Rhinolophus ferrumequinum: one gene and its partners. The protein of the gene in region 3 purifies or fractionates together with the protein of the main gene of each other region. This does not show direct contact. Links are inferred from orthologs where the notes say so. Each region holds a gene or a part of one and is shown on either strand. Other genes may lie near its edges.

The links.
Region 1: the proteins of ARPC5L (region 3) and ACTR3 purify together in Homo sapiens (affinity purification with mass spectrometry; 6 studies listed by BioGRID and IntAct, counting the BioPlex papers as one, with this or other methods). This does not show direct contact. The link is inferred for Rhinolophus ferrumequinum from reciprocal best matches to the Homo sapiens genes ARPC5L and ACTR3.
Region 2: the proteins of ARPC5L (region 3) and ARPC3 purify together in Homo sapiens (affinity purification with mass spectrometry; 7 studies listed by BioGRID and IntAct, counting the BioPlex papers as one, with this or other methods). This does not show direct contact. The link is inferred for Rhinolophus ferrumequinum from reciprocal best matches to the Homo sapiens genes ARPC5L and ARPC3.
Region 4: the proteins of ARPC5L (region 3) and ARPC2 fractionate together in Homo sapiens (co-fractionation; 7 studies listed by BioGRID and IntAct, with this or other methods). This does not show direct contact. The link is inferred for Rhinolophus ferrumequinum from reciprocal best matches to the Homo sapiens genes ARPC5L and ARPC2.

What each region holds. Positions count from the first base shown.
Region 1 is NC_046291.1:85,710,402-85,717,603, reverse strand, and holds the start of ACTR3 (actin-related protein 3), read right to left. Parts: upstream 3,004-7,202; 5' UTR 2,685-3,003; coding exon 2,641-2,684; intron 1-2,640. UniProt on the Homo sapiens protein: ATP-binding component of the Arp2/3 complex, a multiprotein complex that mediates actin polymerization upon stimulation by nucleation-promoting factor (NPF).
Region 2 is NC_046308.1:6,137,280-6,144,492, forward strand, and holds the start of ARPC3 (actin-related protein 2/3 complex subunit 3), read right to left. Parts: upstream 3,019-7,213; 5' UTR 2,886-3,018; coding exon 2,880-2,885; intron 749-2,879; coding exon 649-748; intron 1-648. Other genes in the region: GPN3 (GPN-loop GTPase 3), read right to left, coding at 4,857-4,916, 5,496-5,624, 6,133-6,229, 6,378-6,493, 7,051-7,175. UniProt on the Homo sapiens protein: Component of the Arp2/3 complex, a multiprotein complex that mediates actin polymerization upon stimulation by nucleation-promoting factor (NPF).
Region 3 is NC_046295.1:74,632,412-74,640,135, forward strand, and holds the start of ARPC5L (actin-related protein 2/3 complex subunit 5-like protein), read left to right. Parts: upstream 1-4,724; 5' UTR 4,725-4,760; coding exon 4,761-4,909; intron 4,910-7,724. Other genes in the region: RPL35 (60S ribosomal protein L35), read right to left, coding at 502-638, 1,045-1,047. UniProt on the Homo sapiens protein: May function as component of the Arp2/3 complex which is involved in regulation of actin polymerization and together with an activating nucleation-promoting factor (NPF) mediates the formation of branched actin networks.
Region 4 is NC_046291.1:17,016,968-17,024,196, forward strand, and holds the start of ARPC2 (actin-related protein 2/3 complex subunit 2), read right to left. Parts: upstream 3,019-7,229; 5' UTR 2,876-3,018; intron 2,661-2,875; 5' UTR 2,653-2,660; coding exon 2,579-2,652; intron 1-2,578. UniProt on the Homo sapiens protein: Actin-binding component of the Arp2/3 complex, a multiprotein complex that mediates actin polymerization upon stimulation by nucleation-promoting factor (NPF).

The DNA of each region.
Region 1 (7,202 bases), on a different chromosome or scaffold from region 3:
AGGGTATCATATGAAAGAACTGCTCCTTTCTAAATTCTTTTCAAAAGGAGCTATTTTATGATCTTGGCTTAGGTGATTCATCATCTTATATCGAGATAAAGGATTTTTGCTGGGGGATCTTTAAGTCCTGGGATTAAGCTTCAAGTTTCCTAATTCTTACAGCTTTTCTCACCTGAGACCACCAAGTTCCATAAATGGCCACTTTTTTTTGTCACCTTTGCCTAACTTATATAATGAAATGGAATGAGCAACCTGATTAAGGTTATAATTTTTCACTGACATTAAGTGGGAAACTGCAATTAGATACTTAAGATATGCATGAATGCATTCTCTAAAGCACAAAGGAACACACAAATTATAGGTGCACGATTTGCATCTGGGGACCACAGTATTCTAGAACATAAAACTCCCTATTAAGGCCTTAGTTAGAGATGCTTACCCCAGACCCAATCTCAAGGAGCTATCTATGTGCTTTAATAAAACTAAAGGAGTAACATTCCAAGAAATGCAACAGAAAGACCAAAAGCCTTGCAAACCAAAATAAATGGATCTCTTAGAATTTCAGACTGTGACAGATGGTAAAAGTGATAGGAAATGGGGAATCCTAATTAGTTCCATTCAAATCATGAGTGTCCTCCTTTTAAGATAAAACTAATGCAACAATGTAAAATGTATTAACGTAGTAGTAACTGAAATATTAAAACAAAAATATCCTAAGTACTGAACCCCTCTCCCTACACCTACACCAGCAGGTGTTTTAAATTCAAGGTTGTCCTATCAGAAGGTCAATTAAGGACAGTTAACTTCAATGAAATACCTAGTATACTAATTCAAAAATAACCAAAACTGTATTTCCAACGGGGGGGGGGGGGGAATGAAGAAAAAGTAACATCCTACTTCAGATATTACCATGCTATTAGGGTGACAATTATCTAATTTTATTGACAATCCAGTCACTTGTAAAGCATAAATATGAATTATGTAGCAGTATTTTTCACTTGAACAAAATACACTTGAAAATTCTTCCTCAGTCAGGCCAAATCTAATTTTAAAAATGAACCTAAACATAAAACTATTCACCAATTAAAATAAAAAGAGAAATCTTGGTTTAGGGAAGTGAGACTGGATTAAGAAAACAAATTAATAAGCTGTCCATCAAAAAAATACATAGACGTTCCCAAGGCTAAACTAGGCTAATGTTTCCCAAGGGAAAATATTAATAAATAGGTTATTTCCCTATGCATGGTTGGGATTTCAGAAACTGCCACACTAGCATGAAATTTTACAGGGAGCAAAGAGGAGGAGGAGCATACCATCTTTAAGAAAAAGCAGCTTGCTGAATAATAAACAGGGAGGGGGGAGAGAAGGCTGGCAATTCACCTCTCAACCCCCTCACCCAAAATTGGAGTATTTTGGGAATTAAGAGATGTAATAATAAATCAACATAGCACACACGCACAAAAAGAAAACATGTCCAATATCGTAAAATAAAGCATTCTAGAAAATACAGTATTTTCTATGTAATTACAAAGTATAGTATAACTCTCTACAATGCCCATTAATACAGAAAGAACGACCACGTTAACGCCACGCTGTATTTTAGTAAACTACAGTACAGATCTGTAAGAATTCTTTGAAAAGCCAGCACAACCCTTTATAACTCTATACCTTCCTTCCCTCTTTATGATACCGTCACAGAATGAACTTCTTTTCCCGGGTGCTTCCCTTCCTCCCTCCCGTAGAACACAAATAAATTTTTCAGGTTCACATAAATTGATACCTAGCACCAGTAACTCAGTCTATTTAAAATCGGCTTAATTTTCAAAGTTCTAATAAGATGTGTTCAGGTTGGAAACGAAAAACTACCTTATAAGGGTATAAAAGACTGAAAGCAGGAAGCAGCTTTGACAAAACTAAGGAAGTTGCAGCGCGCTTGCTCACTGGGGGACTTTTTTGAAGCAAGAGAAGTAACACATTACCTCTTTCTCTCTCAAATTAAAATGTGACTAGGTTCACCGGTTAAAATGCAGCGGGAGACGGAACAGACACCGGGCGTTCGAGGAGGAGGAGGAGGTGGGTGGTCCAATGAAAGCCCCGATTTCGGTTCCCATTTTCAGAGTCCGATTCATCCCACTCCCCCACCCACACCCTAGGCAGTGTTGTCACAGCAATCTTGCAAAACCTACACGGAGCGCTTCTCTTTTCTCGCTCCTCTGCCAGGCAAGTCCCCGCGCTCGATGCCCAAACCCACCAGGCAGGCAGGGTGCGGAAGGAAAGGAGAGCCGGGTGCCACGGCTCGGCGACCACCCCCACCGCGTCCGCGCGCCCCGGGGAGGTGACCGTCCCCGCATCTCCTTGGGCGGCGCTGCCCACCGCGGTGGGGGAAGGGCCGGGAGGAGGAGCGCGGAGAAATCCACTCCCGGGGGTTTCTCGGCCCCGCGCCCGGGTCCCAGAGGTGAAACCAGGGGACAAGGGAGGCCCTGCCTCTCCGGGCCCCACCCCTCGCAACACAGCGGGGCGAGGACTGACACCACCGGCGACGGCACCTTGCCGCACCATTCATCTGCCGATCTCCTCCCTCCCCCGCCATTTTCCTACCTCAGCCTCAGTTTCCCCACCCCCGCTCGTCAGTCCCCTTACCCGGTGCCACAGTCCACCACACAGGCCGGCAGCCGTCCCGCCATCTTCCTCCTCTCCTGCTGCTGCCGCTGCCGCCGTCTGCTCCGTACCGGTTGTGGCCAGGGATTGGCGGCAGGAGATTGGAGCTATCTCACCATCCACAGCCGGGCCGCTCTCTGTCCGGGGGGTAGCCGGGAAGCCGAAGCAGTAGCGAGAAAGCAGCAGGCTCGGTCAGCCGCTACCACTTCCGCAACCCAGGCGGGCAGGCAGTCCCCGCCCTGCCCCGCCGCGGCCTCCTCCCCCTCTTTCTCCCCTCCTCCTCACTCCTGCCCCCACCATACAACTTCTTCCCCCTCACGCCGCCTTTCCCCGGGAAGTCAAGATGGCCGCCGGTGCCGACGCCCTGGCCAGCCCAGGCCCAGGCAGCGAGCGCTCCCCCTTCCGGCTCCGAGCGGGAGGGGTGAGAGCGCATGCGCAATGACGTGTGGTCACCGGCGGCGGCTCCCATCCCTACGTTAATGAAATCCACTTCGGGTTTTCCTAGAGTGTAGGGGCGGAGAAGTCAGCCCCAGTCTCCAATTCTTCGGAAGCTGAAAGGGGCTTTTAGTTTCAATTACTTCTATGCTAGGTTGAGGGAGGATGGAACCGCATCCCGCAGCCACGAATATCTTCCGTGCTCCGGGGAAAACGGCCTAATTGAAAACGTTGTCAGCAGCACACAACCATTCTTACACCTTGAGTGGCTGCTTTTCTGGGTGGAAAAGAGCAGTATCAGACCGATGGTGAGCAGTCGGGGGACGGATGAACAAAGGTTTGCACTGTGGCTCTTCTGCCTTCATGCCGAGGTTTTATTCGTTTACACTTGTGCACTGTTACAACATTGCACATTACAATTATTATAACATGTTTAAATTGTAGTGCCCCCCACCCACCCACCCAGAGCAGGCCTGTTCCCATAAGGAGGGCAAACATCAAACCTCCCGAGAATATATCCTACGTAATATACTCTACACAAATAGGCCTTTATTCAAGGCTTCTGGATGATGACAAAAATTTCCCTCTGGAGTAGTTTATACTATTCTACTAGCAGGATTATACCAAGGATTCAGGTCCAAAAAAAAAAAAAATCAAAAGAAAAAGATTAAAAACTGGAAAGCCTAGAACAATGGTTTTCAAACTCTAAGTGTTTATCAGAATTACCTGGAAGGCTTGTTAAAACAGATTGCTGGGCCACACCCCCAGAGTTCTCTGATTATGTGGTCTGCAGTGGGGCTTGGCAATTTGCATTTCTCCCAAGATCCCAGGTGATGATGGTCTGGGAACCAGAAGATTAGTAGCTTTCCTCTCCACTACGTTTATTGTCTTCTGATAAACCTTGTGGATTTGCTTATCTAAGGATGAAATAAAAATATTTTTTACTAAGAAAGGAGGTCTAATTCCAGAAGATCACACATAGTGTGGTGTTAGACTGGGCTGGGGGGTGGAATGTGGGTTTTTCATTTCTTTGATAGAAAAGTATAGCTCACCTATTCTATTATGATGACAACAGTTGCTGACCCTGAATATTCAGTATGCACAAAATATTAAGGTCTCTACTCTCATAGAGTACAGTGTAGTGGGGAAACATACAAATTGTGTTGAAAAATAATAGAAAGCAGAGAGCAGGGAACCAGAAAGTTACAAGCCTATGAGAAATGGGGATGGCAGGTGGCAGAATGGGAGGGAAGTGGAAGACAGGGAAGGCTTCTCTGACAAAGTGGCATTTAAAAGCCTAGGACGGAGGTAGTAGGAGTTAGGTGAAAGGGTAAGAAAAAAGGGGAGCTCTCCAGAAAGAAGGAACAGCAAACCTCAAGGCCCTGAGGTGGGAAAGAGGAAAGAGTTTGGCTTCGTCCACAAATTGAAAGACCCAAGTGGTCAAAGTGAAGTGAGTCAGTGAAGATGCAAAGGAAGGTGAAGTCTGAGAAATAAGGAAGAAGCAAACAATGCAAGGATTAGCAGACTTCTCTAAGCATCTTAAAGTTTAGCTTAAAAGCAACTTGGAAGCCATCAAAGAGATTTAAGCAAAGAAATGATGTAGGGAATGGATCCCATATAGTAATGAGTGGAGTGAATCATCTTCTGTCCTGTAGTGGGTGCTTTTAGGGATAGAAGTATGTGAGGAGTAGGATCCAGATGGGATCAGCTATGTGCAGAAGAGACTCAGGGGAGTTATCATCAGTTAGTATCCATCATATCCACAGCTACTCACAGCAAATACATAAATAAAGAAATAATTCTGAGGGTAAGCTTTCCTCAGAGATTGCCTTCCAAGAAGTCAAACACAAGTGGTTCTTTTTTCAGATATATAGTTGTTTTTTACCTACATTTTAGAAGATCCTAAGTAGGGATTCTTTGCTGCCTTTTCCACCATCAGGGATTTTTGGTCATTTGGAAGAGGAGATGCCTGAAGATAGACTGACAGAAGAGGGAGATGTGGCTTGGTTGGGGTGGAGTAAATGGTTGTTTCCAGCATTACAGGTGTAAGTCAGGAACAAGGGGATCCTACCAAAAGGGTCCCAAGGACAGAAGTTAGGAACTTAAACAGGTCTCTCTGGGAAGCCCACACTGGCAGATTATCAAGATGGCCGCCTACACGCCGCTGCCTTGGGTGGGTTGCCATGGAAGCAGTGTTAAGGGTCAGAAACTGGATTGCTCCCAGGGTCCAGGCAAGTGACGTATGAGTAAAGAGGGCAATGAGGGAATGGCAATGTGGAGAGCCCACATCTTGATGGAAGACCGTAGAAAACTGTTGCCATACAGAGTGCAGATCCAGTGTTGCCAGAGCCTCCCTTTTTTCAAGAAAAGCTGTAAGTCTGTATTTTTCTCTGTTGGTCACAAATTCTTTGCAGGCTAGATTTGACCTGCGGGCTGCAAGTTTTCAACTTGTGATTTGAGAGGCTCTTTAACATTTTCTTGTGCACCGCATTAAAACATGAAGCTCATGTTGGTGCTACATACTGTATCTCATTTTGTAGGCATGAGAAAACCTACCCCCCTTGTCTCCTTTACATAGTCAAGAATGTCCGTTATCTGTAAAGGCTGTGACTGTTAGAAGCGTTTGACAGCTTCCAACGCTTGTTAGAAGTGTCATTTGTGTTTGTTCCTCATAATTTGTCTACCGAAACACTTTGCTTGCCTAAGACTCCTTCTACTTCCCGCTTGCTACATGCCAAATTTGTCAGTCTAGTGCTGTGGTGGCTCAGGCTTCCTCAACTGTGTAGAGCCATCAGATGTACAAAAGAAGAAAGCGTTTCTGACCACCCTGTTTTGCATACGTCCCCTTCCTGCTTACCCTAAGCAGTGGTGGATAGTCAGGGTTTGTCTGACTGCCCTGCATTCATTACTCCCTAATTGCATTCTGATTTCCTTTTAGATCAGGTCAACCAAGTGCTTGGTTATGAGTTTCCAAGCTTGGTCCCCAACATTTCAAGCATTTGTGAGCCTTGCAATAGTTTTCCAATAAATCCCCTTTTGCTTAAGTTAGTAATAATCAGTTTCCATTACTTGCAGAAATTTAAGAACTCTAAATGATACAGAAGCCCAAAGTTTGTGATTTTTTTCCCCAGTATCTTAGGGAAGCTAGGGAAGAGAGCCCAGACCAAAACCTGGTTCTGACCTCTTTCTAGGGCTCTTTAGTTGTAATGCCACAAATATTATTTAATTTTGATTGATGTATTGGTTACCAGTTACCATGAGATTTCCTGGGGTTGTCCAATGCTTTAAAGCCAGCTTAGCCAATGTCTCTGGATCTTAAAATGTCTAAGAAATTCACATGTCTCTCAATCTCCATTTTAAAACTATCAATATTTTTTTTAAAAAATCAACTTAGGTACTTGCTGCAGGGAAGACTATTTGCAAATTGGCAGAGCAATCAAATCCACAGAGAACATTGATTAAGGGCAGATGGATAAATGGGCCATGCAGCCTAGTGGTCAGAGGAGGTAGCTGTGAATCCTGGCTTCTCCCTTCCCAAGTTGTGTGACCTTAGACAACTAACTTAGTGTATGAAGAGAGCACAGAACTTGGAATCAAGAGACTCAAATATGAGTTCTTTAATCTGTTTCTTCATCTGTAAAATGGGCAGAAAAACCTAACGTATAGGGTTCTTTAAAGGTTGAATTTTACAAAAGCATGTTATAAACTACAGAGTGATCTTATGGACAAAGAGGAATGTGGCATAATTATAAAGTAATGACTCTTTGACTTGTTACTTAAACATATAGACTTAAATGTCTAAAAGCTGGTCCTCTTCTTCACAAAAGTTATCCTGGGGCCTATGTGCTTACTCTTTTAATGCTACCATTGTGCAAAATATTTTTGGAAGGGCTCCTGCAGACTTGCCTTCAGAGCCTGTAGCACATTCCTTTAAATATCTTCATTGGTGGCAAATCTTGGCTCTTTGTGGGTAGATTTAACTTTTGGAATTGGCCAAAAGTCATTTTTTCAGAGCCAAGTCCAGTGAAAAAAAAAATCAGTGCTCAACTAGGACTATGTTTTTTGATGAAAAGCTTTGTATAACTGACTATAAAGTAATAAAACTGGTT
Region 2 (7,213 bases), on a different chromosome or scaffold from region 3:
GGAAACCATGTCTAATATAATACAAATTACACTGTTGGCAGAGTATCTAAGAATGTGTCAGAAGAGTCTCAAGGTCTGAAAAGAATGGGGCTTTCTGAACAGTAAAAAATGATTTAAAAAGGAGTACCAAGAAAGAAAGCAGAATTATGTAATTCAGAAAAGCAAGAGAAGAAATGAGTAATGTTACATAGGACGCTTCAGATTTAAGATCGAGGTGTTGCTAAATATGGAGATCCTGAAAAATCGATCAAGAAAGTAGATTTAGATGGGGAAGAGGTTAAAATATGTTTTGTGTTTTTCCAGCTTAATGACAGATAAGGGGTAGGGACATGGCATTCTTTACAAGTAGCAGCACTAGTTTGTAAGAACTGACAGTGACGACAGAAAACTGTGTAGAGAATTAAGCACATTTTCTTTCTCCTCAACAAAATGTCCTGGAGAAATCAGCAGCAATAACAGTTTCCTATTAGATACAACATATACCTATATCTTGAAAGGCCTAAAAAGCAATATCCACCAAGCAAACAGAAAATACAGGAGCAATGTGAAACAGAGGCCTGAGCTAAGAATTTCCCTGATTTGATGTCAGAGGGTTGTTCGATGTTTCATACCAAAATCTGAAAATAACAGAAAGGGGTTTCGACTTACTCTCTCTAGGGGCGGGTCCTTTGAACTGACTTCTGATAGGCAACAGTGCCATGTTTCCAATCAGCTTGGTGTCGGGGTCCATGAGAGAAGAGTGGTAAGCCTGTATTGGCACGCCAGGTAATACAGAAACAGAAAGAGAGCAAACGTCAGCAGGGCAGAGAAGTGTTTTTCTCCGAAAGGGAAAAAAAAAAGAGTAACCCACCCCAGATTAACTAGAGGAAGAGGGAGAAGAGATGGTGGCAGCTGTGTGCTGGAGCTGGCTCTTACTGGCTCATGAAAACCAACTGTTAAATTTCTAGGAATTTTTGAGCCAAGCTGGTTGTTGAACACAGCTGTTATTAAAAATAAACTTATATAAATTTGCAATAAATTACATTAAAAACAAAGATAATAAATACTCAAAATTCATTACTTCCTATTAAAAAATACTGTTGTCTGTGAGCTTGAAGTTATTCATGCCTTTTGTATCTTTAGGGCGGAAATACTATATAATGTGGTACTACTGTGCATTTCTTTCAATTCCACGTTCAGTGACATCACACTGGTAACTGATGGGAGTATTTACATCACAGAAATAGGCAAACACCATATAGATCAGAGGTACCCACCCCCCAGCTGTTGTTAAGCCAGAGCCCAAGCACTGGCTTTTCAGCGCTGCCATTTTCTGGCTTTCTGTCTTTGATCGAGATACCATTTTTCTTCTCTTAGCTGGTTTCCAAATTTGCAAAATGAAGAGATATACTGCTTTCAATGGGTAGGTGTGAATTAAAGGATGAGAGGGGGGAAAAATCATATTTGTGAGAGCAACTTGTATATGAGTCCTCGTTCTGCCTTTTATAAGATGTCTAACTTTTTAAAGAAGACATGGGCCCCATTCATATATTCATTCAGTCAGTCACCAAATGATTACTAAGCACCTTCTAAGTGTAAGGCACGGTGATATAATGGTATACAAGACCAGTACGGTCTCCATTTTTAAAGAACTTTTGGCTAACAGAGAAGACAGATATTAAATAAGTAACAAAGGGGAAGTCCAGGGTGCTCTATGTGCAAATGGAATGAGCAAAGGGCTTTAGCGTCCTGGTTTAAAATCGGACTTTATCAAAGTCTTTGCACTAGTGTGCAACCTTAGGGAAATTACTTAACTTCTCTGAGCCTCGGTTTCCTCCCTCCTCTGCAAAATGTGAAACCAATAATATATCTACCTCATAGGCTCACTGTAAGGATTAAATGGGATAATTTATATAACGTGTGTAGCTCAGGGCCTGCCTGGCACATATCGAGTCAAATGGTAGCTATATGCTTCATAAAGTATTTATGACGATGGCCTGCTTCTTTTTATCACACGTATGCTTCATCTAAAGCAGCCTGCACCCTGCCTTTCACCAGCTACTGTCTTGTTACCCATCTATTTCCTTCATAGCATTTGTCATTATTAGAAACGATCTCCTTTATTTTATTTACATGTGTCTGCTTCCCCATTAAAATGTAAACTGCTTAAAAGCAGGGATTTGTTGGCTTTATTCACTGTTGTAACAGTGCTCAGCATGCAGTCCGTGCTCAGTAATGTCTGAATAATCACATGTTGTTGAACCTCTGTTTACCTAATCTGCAAAATGGAGGCTGTAAGGGCGATAAACTACCTCGCAGACTGGCTGCCAGAAATGAAGAGAAACTACACCACCAATTTTTCTCCTACTCTGATGCACAAGAAAATAGAAACATTTGGAAACCGGGCGCATACCTCGAGTTGGCTCTGGTGGCCGCCACTGCCGGCGCAACAGGGAAGTGGGTCTGACAAATGACAAGCAGCGGAAGGGACCCACCCCCTGGGACGGAGGAAGTGGGTCTTCAGAAAAAAGGAGAAGCCAGACCCTGGACTTGAAAAATGAAAACTAAAAAGCGAAGCCCTCGCGGCTCTGTTGACGTTTTGGGGACACTGCCGGAGTTGGGGGCTTGCAGAAGGGGCAAAGACAGGGTTGGGATTGGAGAGAAGGGGGCCGGAAGGGCTGAAGCAACCCCCTCTGCACGCCCACTCTGCCGCGCCTCCGCCCCTCCTGGCCGACACTATCAGGCCGCCCCAATCCTACAAGAACTGGCCCCCTCCCCTCTCCCGTTCTGTCCCCCGCTCCCTCTGCCCAGCTTGGCCCACTTCTCTCAGCTCACGCACGATGTCCGCCGCTCTCCCCAGTTCTCGCCGTCTCCCCACACCCCTGACTCGGGCTCCTTACCGGCATCTTGGCGGCCCCCGAGTTTCAACCCAGATGAAGAGCAGGAACGGGTTAGAGCGCTGGGCTTCCGGCCTGGCAGCCCGGGCGGGGTAGGCGGAAGTGAGCCGGAAGGGGCGGTGAGGAAGGACGCGCGCTTCCGGCCTTGCTGTCTGGCCGCTGGCTGCTGCGGCTGCGCAGAGCCGAAAGGGCCGGGGGGGGGGGGGGGGGGGCCGAACACCGAGTGTTGCGCAGGCGTGAGACGTGGAGCGGGCAGTGTGTTTGGGGGCTACATATCTGTGCTCGCCTTTGTTTCTTCAAAGAGCCCCTTTTCAGTGAAGCATTCCCTGTCATACTATTTTAAATTCAACCCCACTGGACTCCCTGCCTCATCCTTCTTTCCCTTTTAAAAGAATCTTATGATTCTTTTATTTAGTTTACTTTCGGTGTTTATTTCCCGCGATCTCCCCATCCATGTAAACAAAAAGGCAGTGATTTCGTCCGTTTTGTTCACTGCTGTGTACCCCGTGTCTAAAACAGTGATGGTATACGGTAAGCATACTTGTTCAGTGAATGAATGAACCCAACTTTTTTGTTGTTGTCATTTCAAAAATTTCATTCTCTTCAACTGCTTTTGCGGTTTATAGCGATATTTCACGTATTAGTTCCCTGAAGCCTTTTTCATTCTGAGCTTCGTTTGCAGTGGATAACTGGTTTTTCAGGGGTATGACCAAACCACTGGTTTTAAAAATGGGGAGAGCACAGTGAGAGGGAATTGTGCATTATTCTGTACTGTAATTCTGTGTGATGGTTGAGAAACTGACTCTGAGTTAGATTCCCAACTCCAACATTTATTGGCTGTGTAATTTTGGGCAAGTTAATTTACCTGTGTGTCAGTTTCCTCATCTGAAAAATGGAGATAACAGTACTTACCTCAGTTTCGTGAAGGTGAAATGAATTGCATGCAAAGTGCTTAGAACTTACATGCCTGGAATATACTAAAGACTCAGGAATTTTTAAACTATTACTGGAAAGCAACTCATGATAAAAGCCAAGTTCACTGCTGCTTGGGGCCATTTCTTCTCCCAGTCCCTCATGGGGACTTTGCCCCATGTTCCCATAATGGATTTCTCATTTAGGCCTCTGGCCAAACAGCACCTTTTAGGAAGAGCCTTGACAATGAGCCCAAAGCAGCCTGTTAGTCACTCTCCATTTCATTAGTTTTCTTCCTATTCCTTATCAGAGGCTTCCTTGTTTATGGTTAGTCTCAAGGGCCCAACATGTCAACTCCATGAGAGTAAGGTTTTGTCTGCCTTGCATGCTTCCCAGTGCCTGGCACCCACTGGTAAATTTGTCGGAAGAACCATGTCAAGCTCCCCTACTTGGGGAAATTTACTCATTCAAAAATTTGCCCTGGCTGAGTATTTCAATTTCTGACTGGAGAACAAGACTGTAATGAAAGGTCAGTGCTATTTCTTTTATTTATATACATATTTATCTTAAAACATAGTTACTTTTCATTTTTTAATTATACAAATAATACATTTTCAATGTAGCAAAACTGGAAGATACGGATAAACAATGGCCTTATCTATATTCTTCCAACTTTTTTCCTCTAGACACACATATGTATATTTTGTTAAAACAATTCCAGTCCCTCCAAAAAAAGGTTCAAAAATAACAAAAATCAAACTGTTTACAGGTCTTAATTGTACCACAGGTGCTGATTTATATTATATGCAAATCTATGTGCAGTCATTTCAATTTCAACTTTTAAAATCTAAATTGTGCTGTAAAAATATTAGTACAAGACTCCACTTTAAACAGCAGTAGTTTCAAGAATAACTAAGAACCTGATTCAAGCATGCTGCTGATAAACAGCCAAGTATTATTTTTTTTCATTAAAATAAGTAGCTTTCTTGTATTGCATCCTTTGAGAAGAATGTTCTGATGTTTCAGCCACAAGCTCTTCACATACATAGTCACTTTTTAGTAAACTCTTTATTCATTCTGGTGTTCTTGAAAATATTCATCAAACCTAGAAGACTCATCTTCATGTTCCTGACACAAAGGAAACACAAAATAGAACATACATTCATTTCCCCTCAGACCTAGTATGTGTTTATATATTTTTCAGGTAATGCTCTGTAAGGAGCAAACACCCAGCACCACTCCAGATGTTACTCACAGGTAATAGTTAATAGTAACAAAGGCATGACTGATAGACTATTTCCAGATATGTGGTAGTAAGTGCTTCTCTCTCATTAGGAGCATTTTTCACAGAGTTTACTCACGCCGATTCTCAACTAAGTTGTGCCCTATTGACAATAACCATTAATAGTCTTTCCACTGACACATGTGACAGCAGTCCAAGTTCAATTGGATTTTACTTCCTCTTTGCATATACCCCAAGCTCTGAGTATAAAGAAACATAACTCAGTAACATTGCCTCAAAAAAAAGTAGAGTAAAAGTGATACTGCTCGTTGAGCTCAGGTGTCAGTTTCAGAGATCACCCAGAAAAGCCCAGGTTATTGCTGCCACTGAGACAAAAATTGAGTTCCTGGGGTTATATAGGATGCCAGGGAGTGCCGACAAACATTTCTACCAAAAGCCAATAAACACCCTAAACCAGAAATTACCTTTGGTTCTTTAAATTCCAAGTCTTCTCCATACTGAATGGCAAAATCAATATGCTGTAATACAATATTCATGCTTTCTTCATCTGACTGATCGTATGGCAAAAATCGAACCATGCTGTAGTCGTCAATCTACAAATTGGGGATTTCAGAAAGGGTCATTCAGAAATTGTGCAAAATACTTAATTTTCAACTTATATTTGCGTTTTATAACCATTTATACTCCTGATTAAACCATTTGTGTGTGAGGGGGTAGAGATAGACAGTGACAGAATGACAGCAAATCAATGTTTTTCTGACCTCGGACCTACTTAGAACACTCAACTTATTACTTAACTAGACACTATTTAATAAGCATTTATCTGAATTCAACAACCACTGGAAATTTCAAAAGGGCAGTTCTGAGCTCCCAATATGGCTTGGAATAATAGACATGTCAGTTAAGTTTTTGGCTACTGCCAATAACTGCTTCTAAATTAAACTGCTGACTGGCTAGCCCACAGCCTCTCACCACCACCTCCCCTTTGCAAGGAAATTGGGTTGGATCATGCTTTCCATAATGGTGGCCACTGACTAGAAACCAGTAAACACCTACTAACCAGGGCATTGAAAAACGACAACAACAACTTAAGAAGCTTACCAGTCCACATATAGCTTTAGTCAATTTTTTGAATTTTTTGCTTCTTAAGTCACTTGTAGAATCATCTAATAAAGAATACATGTCTGGATCTAGAAACCTTTAAAAGTGAAAAAGAGATGATGAATTAAAGGAAGAATAAATCAGGAAATTGGATTTATAGACTGACAGAACGTCACATGTAAACAAAGTTTAGAAGATTCATCTCTGCAATTGAGATCTGATGACAATGGAAGACATGAACTCACTTCTCAATTTCTTTTTTCGCTTTCTTACTCAGCAGATCCATTTTTGTCATGATGTTAACTTGTGGAATTTCTAGAGAGATCATAGCGCTCAGCGCTGCCAAGATGCCAGAAATAAACTGAAGGAGGAAACAGGAAAGGGAAGATGAATCAACTGGTGCCCACAAAGCTCCCGGGTCTCTGTATAAAAGAGAGGCTTCTGCTCCTCCCTGGAAGAAAAGTCAAAGACACGCTAATCCTAAACATAAGACGGTCCACTCATCAGATGGTTGACCCTTGGTTTTCAAAGGTGAGGATAAGGAAGGAAGATGTAGATTTAATCTACAGTGATCACAAATCTCATTTCAGACTGTATCTTTAACCTTTCCATTGAAAATTCCTTAAGAGCTACTAAATGAGAAATACAGTTTTAGATAGTTCACAAACGAGACAAAAGTTCCTCAGAAAATTAAAAATACTTTTATCTGCCTCATTTTTCTAATTCCCCCAAATCTATATAATATCATAATTTATCACATGAATTAAAAATACATTATTATAATAATTTAATAATAAGGGATACTGAATCATTCTGGAGTATAGTTTGTGAAATGTTCAGAATCACACAATGATTAAAGGAGACTATCATCTGCTTGTACCCAGAACTGAAAAATCAACAACAGATTTATCATCAAACCTTGAACGACTCCACCATAAACTGAGAGTCAACCAGAAAAACTCCACAGACTCGGAACTCCCACTGTTCTAGCTGCTTGACCAGCTGTTTCATCACGGGCAGGTGCGTGTACAACTCAATCTGACCTATATGAAGAACATTACGAGACTATTACTATCAGGAA
Region 3 (7,724 bases):
CCAAGCTCCTCCAATCCCCTCCCACCACCGTAGGAAGTGGGGGCCCATTTTATAGAAGAGAAAAAAAAACTGGGTGTTGAGCCAACATGCCATAGGGTAGGATGTGGCAGAAATAGAATTTGTGCCCAGGTCAACTGACTCCATTTACCCAACGAGGGAAAAAATAATCAAATGCTGAGGGGAGGTAAAGAAAAAGTTCCAGTTAGGCTTTTGATGGCAGGATTAAAATGAGTCTTCAGGGACACCCAGTTTTTCCTCCAGCCAGAGAAGACAGACAAGGGCATTCAGGGCAAAAGGACCACACGGTCAAAGGCAGAGGGTCTCCCGCACGGCTAGGCGTGAGCAGGTGATCCCGGAAAAGCTGGTTAGAAGGGCATAACATTCCAAACCACAGATCCATTGAACGAGCACTTAAACGGACACCTCCCTAAGACAACCTCAAATACCCTGATATACACTTATTCCATCCCCCGCCCAGAGGGGCCGCGGCCCGTCACTTACATCTTGGAGAGCTTGGAAGCTGCGCCACCAGTCACTTTGGCGACGCGTAGCTGCGACAGTTCCACCTTCAGGTCGTCCAGCTGTTTCAGCAGCTCCTCCTTCTTCTTTCCGCGAAGGTCTCGAGCCTTAATCTTGGCCTGTGTACCAAGAAAGGGTCTAGATTAAACGCCCGGCGGCGCCGCCTACTCCTCCGGCGCTCATCGAGGCCTCCCCCACTGGCCACCCTCTCCCCGACCTGCGTCACGGTCAGCCCCAGAGGGGCGCGCGCCTCGCCCTGAGCATCCCCACCCCAAGCTTGCTACGAGGCCGGGACGCTATCCCCATTCCGCAGACTGTAAGACCGAGGCCGCGGCAGCGCGCGCGCGCACCTTTCCTAGTCGAAGCCGGTAGGAGGAAAAGACCGGTTTGAGTGGCGCTGGGCCACTCCGCACGGCGCTCCACAGGCCCAACTGGCAGATGGGACCTCAGCGTTCACCCTGCGCCCTCCACCCCAGCTCCCGAACCCTTCAGTGCACGGATGGCACCCGATTCCCCAGCCCTCACCATCGCTGCACAAACCACCAGAGCCGCCGCTCGCTCGCAGAGAAAGAGGAAGGGGGGGGCTGACCTCTGCAACTACTACCGGGTGAGGGCGGGCGCGGCCAATGGCGTCGCAGAGAGGGAGCCCCGGCTCCGCCCCTTCCGGCCCCCGCCAACGCCGCGAGGAACACCTTGGTACCGCCAGCCCAATCCCTCTGTAGTCCCTGGTTCTTCCAAAGACCCCGGAGGTTATTTGAGTCCCACGGCTTGAGCGGAGCAGTTGAGGAAACCACGGCCTGCCCGGGATGAGAGGCAGTTTAGCAGAGATGGCATAGTGAGGATTCAAATTCGTCCACTCAGTCGTTTATTTATTCATTGACTCATTTATTTATTGGGTAAATCTTTGCAGGTCGCCCAGTTCGTGCTGCTCTGAGCGTGGCACCTGTGTTCAGGGAGTGGAGGAGATTAGGTTTGAGGGTTTTCAAAAATGAATTAACACGGCCCCAGCCTCAGGAATTTAAAGTCCGATGTGGGCGGGGTCAGACAGCTATAATCCAACTCCATAAATGTTTTAGTGGAGGCAGCCATGTGGCCGGGGAGCGAGCATTCATAAGCCTTATTTAGTGAAACTGACCCGTTTTCAGATTCTTGCTCTGTTGCCTGGTGTTAGCTAAGACTTGGTAAATACCTTCCCCTCTTTGAGTCTCAGTTTTCTCATCTGTGAAATGAGATATTTATGAGGATTTGGATTCTATCACCTAGAAAATTCTTATCACAAGACCTGATGCGTAACAATCGCTCAAAATACCGGTATTAATGTTCCCAGTGAAATGAACACTTGAGTCGGGCCCTGAAAGTTAAAGGGGAATTCACAAAGCAAGGAGGGTGCTCAGGCTGACACAGCAGTTTTATTGTTGTCCCAACCAGCAATCAGTGCGTCAGTGTCACTCCATTGCCATTAAAAACATACCAACACCTCTTTGAGCTCTAGTTAATGCCAGATTGTCCCCTAGTTGCTATCAGGTGTCACTTCCAGGGAGCCTTCTCCCATCCCCTCCTGGAGTTAATGATCTTTAGCCTTGGAATAAATTGGGACACAACCTGTCTTGTGTCCCAAGCTTTATGTGCAATCCTCTCTTCAGCCCCAGAGTTCAAATGTTTATGTATTATCTCCACAGCCAGCCTGGAACTTCTCTGGGGGCAAGAACCATGGTGGACACCTGGTTTTCCTAGTCTCCAGGACCTGCATGTGGATGCTTGTTGGATGAACGAATGAATGAGCCTTACCCCAGACCACAATGAGAGACTTTTAGGAAGTGGAGGGATATGGGAAGGAGAGGGCAGACAGAGGGCAATGTGGTCATGGATTAGTTTTAAATGGAAATTGAATAGTGCACAGGGTCTTTGCTGTCACATTTCCCAAATGCTTATAGTTCTATTAGAGATACCGTGTTTCCCCGAAAATAAGACCTACCCCGAAAATAAGCCCCAGTTAAGATCTCAGCCAGACACATTTAGTTCGTTATGATAATATTCCAAAAGATGACATGACTGTATTTGAATAAATGTAGATTGTTGTACATGAAAAAGTAAGAAATCCCCTGAAAATACGCCCTAATGGAGCAAAAATTAATATAAGGCCCGGTCCTATTTTTGGGGAAACATGGTATACAGTTGTATACATCTTTTCTGGATTTGAAGGCATCTGTGACTCCCGTTCCTCTTACATGCCACATCTGAGCCAGCACCTAATTCTGTAGCCTCTGCCTTCAAAACATACCTGATCTCTTCCCACCACTCTTATTGGCACCTGCCTGGCCTGAGCTACTACCATTGCCTGTCACCTAGACCATTGGTGTCCTCTTAAATGGCCTCTCTACTTTGGCTCTTGCTCCCATGTGTTCTCAATACAGTTGCTGGAGGAACCCTTTTCAAAGTTAAGTAAGATCACATCACTGCTCTACCCAAAATTTCCAGGGCTGTCCCATGTGAGTGAAGATCACATCCTGTCCTCAGCCTACAAAGCCCTATAGAATCCCCTCCACTTCCATGTTCTCTCTCTCTCTTCTGATCCAGTATGGCCTTGCTGTTTCTGGCATACACCAAGCCTGCTGAGCCTGAGCCTTTGCCCGGCTCCCACCTTCACTTCCTTCAGGTCCCTGATCAGTGTCACCTCCTCAGGGGCACTTCTCTTGACCACTTTAAGGTACTCACTCCCAGGCCCTGCATGTTTGGTTTTTTCCCCCTCAGCACAGTCATCCTGACATAATAGAGGTTTTTAAAATTCTGCCTTCCTGACTGGAATGGAGGTCCATAGTCATAAGCACGTACATTATTTCATTCACCAGTTTATTTGGAGGCTATTTCCTTACTTGTAAAATGGTCATGTCTGGTGTAAAGTTCCCTCTGACCAGGATGTTCTGGGGACACGAATTTCTGTCTGGTGGCCTGCCTGGGTCACAAAGATTTCTTCCAACATATGGAACTGAAAGGCAGATGGGCTTTGCCTGTTTCCAGGACCCCTGGGACTTTTATTCAGCACCTTTTTCCACACTGTAGGAGTATCTTCAGCATCCAAGATACCATATGTACTATAGTCTGGTGTAGTTTTCGATCTGCAGACACAGTTCAATGAGAAATATTCAAATCAATAAAAACAAGTCACATTTCATTAACTACTGGCCTTTATTAAAAAGAGTACTATTACATGAAAGCAAGGACCCAGTTTAGTCTAAGGCTAAGGCCCATTAATGGAACCCTTCAAGTAACAGTCCAAGCATCTAATCCTAGCACCAGAGGCGTCTTTGACTCTGCCCTACCCCCTCCCATCCCCATCTCAGACTCTGGGCTTCCTACCAGGATATGCTCCCCAGCCAGACACGACTTCTTAGCTCCCAGGACCTCGCCCTTCTTGCCAGGATGGCGGCCACAGGATCACCTTCATTTCTGCACCCCCACACGCAGTGCCACCGCACCCTGAAGTCCAAAGGTCTTCATTATCTTGTCAGCACCCTCAATACACTTTGAACGTCCTTAAAGTCTCCTAGTCCATCAACAATAGGGTCACTGTGCACAAGGCAGAGGCCGCCTCCTCTGAGCTCAGTGTGGTGGTGTTCACGGCTCCTAAAATCTGAGACTTAGGATCCTCTACCTCCGTCACTCCCCGGGGCATAAGAACTACTACTAATCACTCAGAACCCAGCTCGAAGATTTCTTCCCCAAGAAGCCTGCCCGGAATTGACATGCCAGAGCCCAGCTCCTTCTCCTGCGGGCCCCGTGCCCTCTCAGTCTGGGGCAGTGATGACCCCAGAGTTCGCGGCTGTGCACACGCCGGTCCCTCCAGGGACAGGGGCTCCTCGAATGCAGGAGGGAGGCCGAAGAACGAGCGCAGTAATTGCGTCCACGAGGCCCGGCCTGCATGCGGAGAGTGCGCCAGCTCTTCAGACGAGAAGACTGAGGCGCCACGAAGATGGGACACTGGCGTGGGGGGGTCGGGGCGACTACCACGCGGATAATCGCGCGTTCCCACCTGCTACCCTGCCAGTCTCCGCCCCTGCATCCCACCTATACTTCCGGTTCCGGCGTGGGCCGGAAGTGGGCGGGCAGCGGCTGCGCGCGGAGGAGGTGGAGGAGGAGCCGGGCGGCTGCTTCCCGCCCCCGAGAGCGAGCCGGTTCGGAGCGGAGTGGAGCGGAGGTCGGGTCCGGAGCAGAGCCGGCTGAGCGGGCGCTGAGCCCCCGCCATGGCCCGGAACACGTTGTCCTCGCGATTCCGTCGGGTGGACATTGACGAGTTTGACGAGAACAAATTCGTGGACGAGCAGGAAGAGGCGGCGGCGGCGGCGGGCGAGCCAGGCCCGGACCCTAGCGAGGTGGACGGGCTCCTGCGGCAATATCCTTCCCAAGCGGGGCGCTCTGGGCTCCCCTTTGGCCCGGCCTTCTCACTTCCCTCACCCGGCCCTGGCCCCTCAGGCCGGCTCCCCACTCGTCTTACCCGCGACCCCTCTGGTGGGTCTCCCAACTCCCTTCCAATCCGGCTCCCGTCGGGCCAGGCTGCCTCAGTCTGAATACTCCCCACTTCCCTCTGATCCGGTCTCCCCACTCCTCTTGTCCCTGGCCCCGGCTCCCGGAGCCTCCCTCAGCAGCGCAGCCCCACGCGGTCCCTAGACTCTGGTTGACCGGCTCTCTCGGCGGCCCCAGTAGTATGCCGGACGTGTCTCCGGCCCTAACAGGCCGCTCTCTTCTCTGTGAGGCCTCTCGTTCCTTCCCTTTGCCTCCTCATCCCTTCAGGCTGTCCTTTGGACAGCCCCATCTCTCCATCCCTCCCTTGCAGGAAATAGGGTTATACTAGGGCTTGACCGGTGGGAGGGACCGAGGTGAGCCACCGCTGAGTAATTGAGCGGCCAGGGCGGCTCCTGGGCACACTTCTTGGCCCGATTGCAGCACCACACTAAAATAGGTGGGTGGATGGCTGCGGGGAAGAAAGGACACAAGAGGGAGCGAAGGCTAAAGTCTTAGTTCAGACCTGAGGGCTGGGATTGCGCACCTTCCACCCCAGAATCAGTCTGACCCTTCAGCTTAATGCCACTCTTTCTCGCGTATTGTTTCCTACGAACACCTTGGGCTTTGGACCTTGATGGGCTTAGCGACTTTCAACAAGTGTATTTTGCCTCCCTGCCCTCAATAGCCTTCTTGTGCAGGAAGCAGTGGTAAAAAGAAAAACTAGTAGTTTAGAGCTAAGAAAAACCAGAGAGCAAGAAGTGAAATGTAAAAGTAGATCCCCACAACTGGAAATAACTATTTTCGTGGCCACTGCAAACAAGCATTTAGAAAACAAGATTAAAAATAGAGGTGGTTGTCACAGCCTGCTTGGTCCCTTAGCAGTTTGAACACAGGAAACTGACTTATTCTCACAGGAAGGATTTTTCTTTATTTAAATGGTGTTACAGGAAGTGCCTGCCCCTCCTCCACACTTGCCCAGGGTAGGGTTGGAAGCTCATGCTGTATATAAATCAGGTTCTGAGTGTTTAATCAGTTGACTCAGCTTGGGAAGTCAGGCCCATAGACTGCCTTTGGGAGGAGTCCTCAGTGTTCCTCCAATGTGCCTTTAAAACAAAAACCTTCAGACTTTGTTTGGACAGGAGTGTGTTTTCCAAGGTGTGTTTCCTGCCCCATCATGGTCACCTTGCTTACCCCATTGGCGAAATGGAGGCATGAAAATGGCCCCAATGAGGGAAGGCTGATTGTGCATCTGGAGTAGGACCTCACTCTTGGGCATGTGGTGCCAAAAGGGCTCCAGGGTCAGGCCTATGGCCCAGAACCCTCCACAGATGGGAGAACAAGGTCTGGTTATCTGTTGTGTTGGTCCTGGTGCTGCAGGCATTTGTTGAAGGTCGTCTCTCATATGCCGGTGACTAGTGGTAGGTTCCTTGTGACTGCTTGGAGGCTTGGCTTAGCACCGCCAGGAGATAGCAGTGTCTTCACTAATGGCAGTATCAGAAACCTTGTTGCCATGGAGAGGGTACCCCCTGGGATTGGGGAAAGGGAGGTTCGTAGATGAGAACTGAAATCCTAGCAAACGTGGGACCTAGGGAGGGGGGAGGAAGGAACTAATATTTAGAGTCCTTACCATGTGCCAGATATTGGACTTATATTAGTTGATTGAATTTAAATTGTAGAACAGACTTCTAGGAGTTTTAGGACAGAGGTGAGGGGAGAAGGGCTAGGGGTTGGTTGATTGAGTGGGAGAATGTAGGGAGGAGACCTGCCCTAGTACTGCATATGAAGCGAGTCATGGTGAGATAACACATGAAGTAAAAAGAACATGGGCTGTGTACCCACACATACACCCACCTCCATCATACGATAGCTGTGTGACCTTGAACAGGTCACATATCCTCTCTGAAGCTTAGCATCCTCTGTTAAAAGCAGGAGAAATGCTGGCCTTAGGTTCCATGGGACCACTGCTGGACAACATTCCAGAAGGCTTCGGCCCAGTGCTAGGCACACAGCAGGTGTCCTGGACGTGCAGCTTGGGTCTGTGGGTGGAGTGCAGCAGGGGACTGTAAAAAGAGCTTGGCTTTGGAGTCAGGCATACTTGGGTTTGAAAGGCCAGCTGGACAGCTAGTTTTGTGACCTTGGGCAGGTCAGTTCCCTTCTCTGAGCCTCAAATTCATTGCCTTTAAAATGAGAATAATGATTCTTGTCGCAGAGTCGTTAGCTGTAATGAGATGACATGTGAAAGCACTTGGCACACAATCTGAGACCTTGTAGGGATTTTAAAGTAGTAGTAGTTCCTTTTCTTCCTCGCTGAAGCACCTTCGGTCCTCTGGGGCAGAGATCTGTTCAGAGCAGTGGTTTTGAGTGCTTTTGCACTCTCTCCTCCCCCTGAGGAAATGTGGCAATATTGGGAGATGTTTTGATTGTCACATCTTGGGAGGTGCTACTGAGATCTAGTGGGTAGAGGCCAGGGATGCTGCCAAATATTGTACGATGCATAGGACAGACCCCACATCCGTCATCTGGTCTAAAACGTCAGTAGTGTCGCGGTTGAGAAACCCTGATCTAGAGGAGACTATGGTTGGACACGGCTCCCTAGCCTGCACAGCCGGATCTCTGGAAGGGCCTGAGGCCAGCTTGGTAAATGGTGTGCCCTCCCTGCTCCCCAAATCTCCCTAGCTGCTGTAGGCCCTCTACCCATCCACACC
Region 4 (7,229 bases), on a different chromosome or scaffold from region 3:
CAAACGTTCTACATGTGCGCTTGCCAAACACGACAGCTACTAGCCACGTGTTGCAACTCAGCACTAAAACTGTGACTAAGGAACTTAATTTTTATTTCACCTTAATGAATTCTTAAACTTAACTAGCCACATGTAGCTACTGGCTACATGTCCTGTCCTATAGGACATCACAGAGTTGGAAGATTCACTCTGAAAAGGGCTGCTCTGAACCGTCATTTCTCCAATTGGTTTGCTCTGAGACCAGTCAAGCAGGGTGGAGTTGACCTCTCCCCACAGGTTTCCACACTGGCAAAGCCTTTCAAATCTCCAGGGTTTCTCCTCCAAGCTACTCCCTTTCCTTAGTATCGTTCTCTGATCTCTCCCCCACACAACTCACCCATTAGCTCCACTGTAAACTTGGCCAACAGGCTCTCTCAGAAAGGCTCTCTTTTTCTGTTGCTGCCTGGTAAGCACTGGTAGAATCTCATACATGTTTATGATTATCACACGAGTTATCCTTTGCTGGAGGTTCTGCCCCAGGCATGCACCTTGGTAAATACCTATGTACTTCACTGCCGCCTCATCTTACTGGGATGCCTGAAAATTAACACTCGGGTTCGGAAGCTGGCTTCTGCTAGGTTCCAGGAAAGCCCTACCTCTTAGGCAGGATATCATGGTCTCTATTCAAAGACGTTCAAAGTGCTTTTTAGCAGAATATGTTTTGAGCCCACTTATTTAAAGTCACAGCTGAAAGGGAAGATGGGCCAGAATAAGAGCCAGAACTTGCTGCCCTGCCCCAATACCCAACACCGCTACAAAATATACTTTGTTAGAAATGGCCTAGTAGTTCTAACTTATGCCTTCCAGACTTGAGTGCCTACTTTAATTCCTCTGAAATGATTAGTTGTTCTTTTTAAGAGTAATTTTCTAAAACGAAAAGAGCTGAAGTTTCGAATAATGGGTTACATTTTGGAATCAAGTTATTAACACAAATAGATGTAAATGGACTCCTATAAGGCAGGCTTCGACTTGAAAATGCAGGCATTTATCTGGTGGATCAGCTTATAACCACCCAGGTCTCATTCTTTACTAGTCTGGACTTGAGAATGCACTTAAGATCAGCTGTGAAAATGCAGAAGTCAATTTAACTTCCTCCTATGTGCTGCAGTGCTCAAAAAAGTACACTGTAATCACCCAAAATAAGACTCTGAGCTGATTCGCTTGAACATTTAAAATACAAAGGAACTGGTAAGTGAGGCTGGATACAAGAAGCAAATTAGCTTAAAATATAAGCTACTGCAGCCCCTGGCAGGAAACAATAGCTACTGCTACTGCTCACTTCAAGGAAAGTTGTGCTTTGTTTTACAGATAAAATCTGTGGCCTTATAAAAGAGATAGGAGGAACACAATATATTCAATTTAAACAATGGGTTAGAAGTATTTGTTTTAATGCCTCCAAGCCACAAGTTCATATGACCACTTAGAAGTTCCCCTCCTCCAATCCTCTCCCGCCTAGTTCCCAGTTCACCAGAAGCAGTTTGCACTTATTTCCTCAACTGTGCAACCAAGATGTGAAGCCCCATCATCACAGATGGGGAAACGAGGCACAGGGACTGGCCACAAAGCACCAAAAATAAGAAGCTAGAAGCAATTCCTTGGCTCATGTTTTAAAGCAAAGCAGCTTTGAGGGAGGAGGTTGTCCTTTACCGATTCTTGTGTTTTGATAGAGAAGGCTGCCTTGAAATCTGTCCTAAGCCCACCTTTAAAAAGGCCAATGATAAAAAAGGTTATTCGAGACCTTTATAGGCTCTGAAGGCTTTCACGTGTGTACCTGGGCCAGGATTACCGAGGAAGAAATCTGACCAGGGGTCTGGTATAAGAATGGAAACGATAACCAGATAAAGGCTAGTGGGTGGGGAAAAGTGAATGAGTATCTCAGAACAGAGATAAGGAAGAGGTGTGGATGAGGAGACTATTAGCTTTGCTTGAGAAATGTGTAACGAAAAGACCAGTGTCTCTCAGTAGGATTCAGGGAAAGGAAACTACAGACATCGCGTTTTTCTGGCTGCAAGAGTGGGTCTACTTTCAGTCTTTCTTCCTGCTCCTTTAAATGACGAGCTGGGGCTGGGGAGCGAGAAGGCTGATGACGGTCTGAGCCTGCCTCTTCTTCCCTCCTCCAGCCCTGGGAATTCCTGGAAAACTCCTTCCAACCCAATCCAAACGGGCTCTCTTCGGGTTCGGAACAATGACGGGGAATACGAAGGCAAGCGGTCCCCTGCTCGCTCCAAAGGGCAATGGGATCCTCCTGCGTGAGTCCCAGCCCAAGCTGCACCCACGTCCCACAGGTCTCCTGCCCTTTAGCACGCGCACTCCAGTCCACTCACTGCTTCCGCATCCCTCCTCTGAGCCTCTCCCCACGCATCTCTGCCCCTCACCCCACCGCGCCCAATCGCCTCCCACGTCTACTCCGCCGGGGCAGTCCCCACACCCGGCCAGGTTCCCCATCTCTCTCACGTCTGGAGGGTGCTCAACGACACTGGGATTAGCAGGGGTCAACTTTGCCTCCCCCGCCGCCCTCCGGCCCCGGGCGCGCGCTCACCCGGCGGCCGCGTTCTCGAACTTGAGTGCGAGCGTCTCCTCGATGATGCGGTTGTTCACCTCCAGCAGGATCATGGCGGCGGCTGCCCCGGGCAGGGGAAGGAGAAACAAGGGCGGGTGAGGGTGGGTAAGGGAGAGAAGGACGGAGAGAGAGGTCCTGCTGCCCTCTGAGGAGGGGGGCTGGGTGGGGTAGGAGGTTAGGGGAGAAGGGGAGAGGGAGCGGGATACGGGGATGGGGGAGACGCGCGCGCTGCCCGCGCACGCTCTGACTGTGGAGACACCCACCCACCCGACCCACCTGGCCCCAGAAGCCTGAACCCGCCTGCCGAGCCGCCGCCGCCGCCGCTGCCGCCTCACCGACAAGCCCGGTCCCCGCCCAGCCCCCGGCTCCAGCCGGCCACTTCCGCTCTCACACCCACTTCCGCTCGCCGCCCGGACGCGCGGCCCCGCGACTCCATTTCCGCTCCAATCTCTTGTGCGCGCGCACGCAGGCGCGCGCGCCGGGGCGAAACGGAGGCTGCGCCTGCGCACGCGTAATACCGCCAGCCCGCCTCCACTTTCCCACAGACCCGCTCGGATCCAGTGTCTGCAAGTATGTCTCCCAGCCGGTTGTAGTCTCCCAAGGCGTGCCTTAGTGTCCAGCCCCTCCCTCCCGCTCGCTCGTCGCAGAGGTCAAGCTCCACCCTTCCGGTCTTGTCATTTCAGAGACCCCCCTCCCCCCCAGCCAAGTACCTTGCTCTTCTCGTTTCCCAGCCGGCTTCTTTGCTCTCGTCTTGTTCGTTGGAGGTGTGCCCCTTCCTCATGCCACACTAATGACTCTCCAGCGTCATCATCACGCATTTCTCCAACGAATATTTAGTGGGCTGCTGTTCTGTGCTGGGGATACAGTGGTGAATGAAATAGACTAGGTCCTGCCCTAGTGGGGCTTATAGTCTGGTAAAGGAAGCAGACAATAAATAAACTCTCAATTATATAACGACACATTGTTTAGATGACAGTGAAGGAAAGGACTGAGAAGTCATCAAGGTGAAAGGGCAACTTGGATGGGCCGCCCTGGGTTCCTGTCATTCCTCCATTTCTGTGCCTGGGGGGCTGCCTCCGGGTGCTGGGACATGATGGTCTTTGTCTTTGAAACCCTCACCTTCCAGTACCTCTCTCTGCCTCATATGCCTTCTTACTCATCAGCAAGAATCTGAACTCATTTTTGTGCTATATCTGCACCTTCTGCCTGTGTGTGCCTTGTGTTGTATTTTTCCTCCTCCAGGGTGAATCTAACGAACTTAGTTAAGTCCCTTCCCCATGCAATGATATATTTTCTGCCAAGTGGTCTTGGAGGTGGGGAGGGGAGGAATATCAACAACAAAATGAATGAAAAACTGGCCCCTGTCATCAAGGCCCAGACGGCCCTTTAAAACGGATTTCCTTGTTTACCAGCCATGGATAAATTTCAACAAATTGCAGATGCCCCCAAATTATACGCTAACATTTATTGAACTAAAATAATGCATATATGTATTTTAAAAATATATACCTATACTAAAGGCTTGTAATGAAAAAAAATCAGTTCACTGACTGATCCTCAACCCTTCTACATATTCATTTGATTAGATCCATATATCTAAATAAATGTTTATATGACTAATTCTTGATTTGTTAATTTTAAGGATTATCTGCTGACTTCCTGCGGTGATAGATAAGAATGTGACTCTATCACTTCTGTTCACCCCTTGACATAGTTATGTAACAATTGTTGGTTAAACCAATAATCAGCATTTAAATTATTATGTATGTAAATATTATTTACCAATAAGCCAAGAAGTGTACTACAACTATGTCTTCTAGCTTATACAGCCCTTCATTTTTTCTTGGAGTTGATAATTGCCTTTTTTCTCTCACTTGTCAATTTTCTATATATCCACAGTTGGCTGTCCCTCAACCACCACAAGTGCTCTAAGACTGTCAAAGAATCTAGCAATATTTTCCATATACTCAAATACTTAAGTTCCACTTTTTCTGTAGAATCTTCATCCCAGGATCTTCCTTCCTCTTGTTTCAATCTGGTTTTGCCCATTTCCTGCATTTTAACATGGTCACAATGCACATTACGTTGTGAGGAGCACTGTATTGATGGACTTCCCTGTAAGATGCAACAATGAGGTGCCGGATTTCATTGGGGGCCCATGAATGTCAATATTGGGAGGTCTCTTCTCCGGAGAAGAATCCTCCAGTTGTGTTTGGGGTTTGTAAGCTTGGCTGTGAGTATTCCTAGCCGAGCTTATAAACATTCCTAGAGTGTATGGAAGCAGGGAAGACGCTTTGGGTCACAGCTGACTTCCACTTGATGCCATTATCAGCCCTGTCCCTCCCCTACTACCTTCCACTGGGCTAGAATCTACAGAAAATGGATTTCTGTAGAAATGGTGGTGGAGATGAAGGACAGGGTGGAAGTGGGATAGGTTGGGTGGGAAAGGGTATAATCACTTGACTGCTTGAGGATCTAGAACAGATTTTCAACCAATTTTTTTTTAAATTTTGCATTTGGTTTATTTAAACTTATAACAAATGGAATAAATAAATATTTTTGTATTCACCCCCCAGCTTTCTTGAATCTTAACATTTTATATTAAACTTGCTTCAGAGCTTTAAAAAAATAGTTGAAACGTCCCGTGAACCCTACCCAATTTCATTCCTTCTCTCCTTCATCTCCCTCCCTGTACCCACAAATGTAGGTATCACTATGCATTTGGTGTTTATCCTTCCCAAGTATATTTTTACACTTTTACTACATATGTGTGTATCCATATGTAAACAATGTATAGCATATTTTTCATGATTTTAAGCTTTTTGGTAATAGTATCATACTGTAATCTCTTTTGAAACTTGTTTCTTTTAGTCAACAGTACATTTTTGAGATTCACCTATGGAATTACTTGTAGCTATTTTAACTGTGACATAGCATTCCATCATATTATTATGCATTATGATTTTCAGTGTTCATTTATTCTCCTGTTGAAGAACATTAAAGTTCTTTCTAGTATTTTTGCTATTATAAGCAATGCTCCTTTGAACTTTCTTATACATATTTCCTGTGTACAGGTGTGAAGGGTCTATAAGGCATGTTTTTAGGAGTGTAACTGCTGAGATGTGGGCTACAGACATCTTCAGCTTCGGCTAAATGTTGCCAAATTGGTCTCCAAATTAGTTGTACCAATTTATGTGTCCACTAGCAACATATGAGTGTTCTCATTGCTCACTGTCCTTGCTAGCACTTGGTATTGTTAGCCTTTGAAATGAATTGATATTAAAAAACATTTGATTGTTTATAAAATAAGAATTAGGCAGCTAGAGAGGCATGCATGAAGGCTCAGAGGCCAGATAACATGACATCTTGCAGAAAGTGAAAGCAGATTAGTAAATTGTGGGTAGAGCTGCAGGGGAGAAGTGCTGAGAGATGGCTGGCTGGAGACATTACGAGCTAATGTTTATTGAGGTTTAGTATTTATTCGGTGTTAGTGCTGTTTTAATAACTTTACATGTATCATCTCATTGAATCCCTGTGACAGCTCTAAGAAGTAGGCACTAGTATTAGTTCATTTTGTAGATGATGAAAGTGAGGTGCTGAGAGGCTGAAGAATATGTATGTGACTGGTTATTGTGCTGGGATTCAGACTCCAAATGTCATGCTCTTGACTACTGTGCAACACTTGTATCCGTTACTGAGCAGGATAGTTTAGTATTTTAGTTTCAAGTGTGATAAAATCAGAGTACAAAAACCTGGACCTGACATGCCGTTTAAAAATAATGAAAACAGCTTCCTGACTGAACCTTCATCCCGCTGAACCTTGATGGCCAAAGTAGAGAAAGTAACTGTTCTCAAACAGCGAGAAATTTTCCGTTTTCAGTCTTAAAGATAGAGGCTGGGAGTCATCCTGGGATTGAGGGGATGTCTGGCTAGCCTCCATTTGGTCCCCTGGATCTACTCTTCACCTCTCTCCATACCCACATCAATTGGGCCCCTTGCACTTGGGCTTTGGTCAGCTAATAAGAAGTCCCAACCGCAAGAGGAAGGGAAGGAGGGAGGGAGGGCGGGCGGGAAGGAGGCATGGATAGATAGATAGACAGACAGACAGACAGACAGACGGATAGATAGATGAAAGAGAGAGAAAGAGAGAGACAGAAAGAGAAACACACACACACACAGATCAGAGTAATTAATCCCCTGCTTCCTCTTCCTTGTGAGGTTGCTACCTCAGGCTGGCTGTCCCTCAACCGAATGTCACAGCTTCTGTCAAAGTGGCCACCTCAGCAAAACTCTTTTCTTCATTCCAAGTCCTGGTAACCATCCCTTCCCTTCAACTCTTAGGGCCTAGGTGTGGTATCAGCTTGGCTGCTGTTAGTACTGGATTACTGCATTCTCTCTTGTGGTTCCCTTACATCCACACTTTTGTAAATACAGTCATGTGCCACTTAGCAATAGGGATACATTCTGAGAAATGCATCATTAGGTAATTTCATTTTTTTGTGCAAACATCATAGAGTGCATTTACACAAACCTAGATAGTATAGCCTGCTATCCATCTAGACTATGGTATAGCCTGTTGCCCCTAGGCTACAAGCCTGTATAGCATTTTACTGTGTAAAATAACATGAGA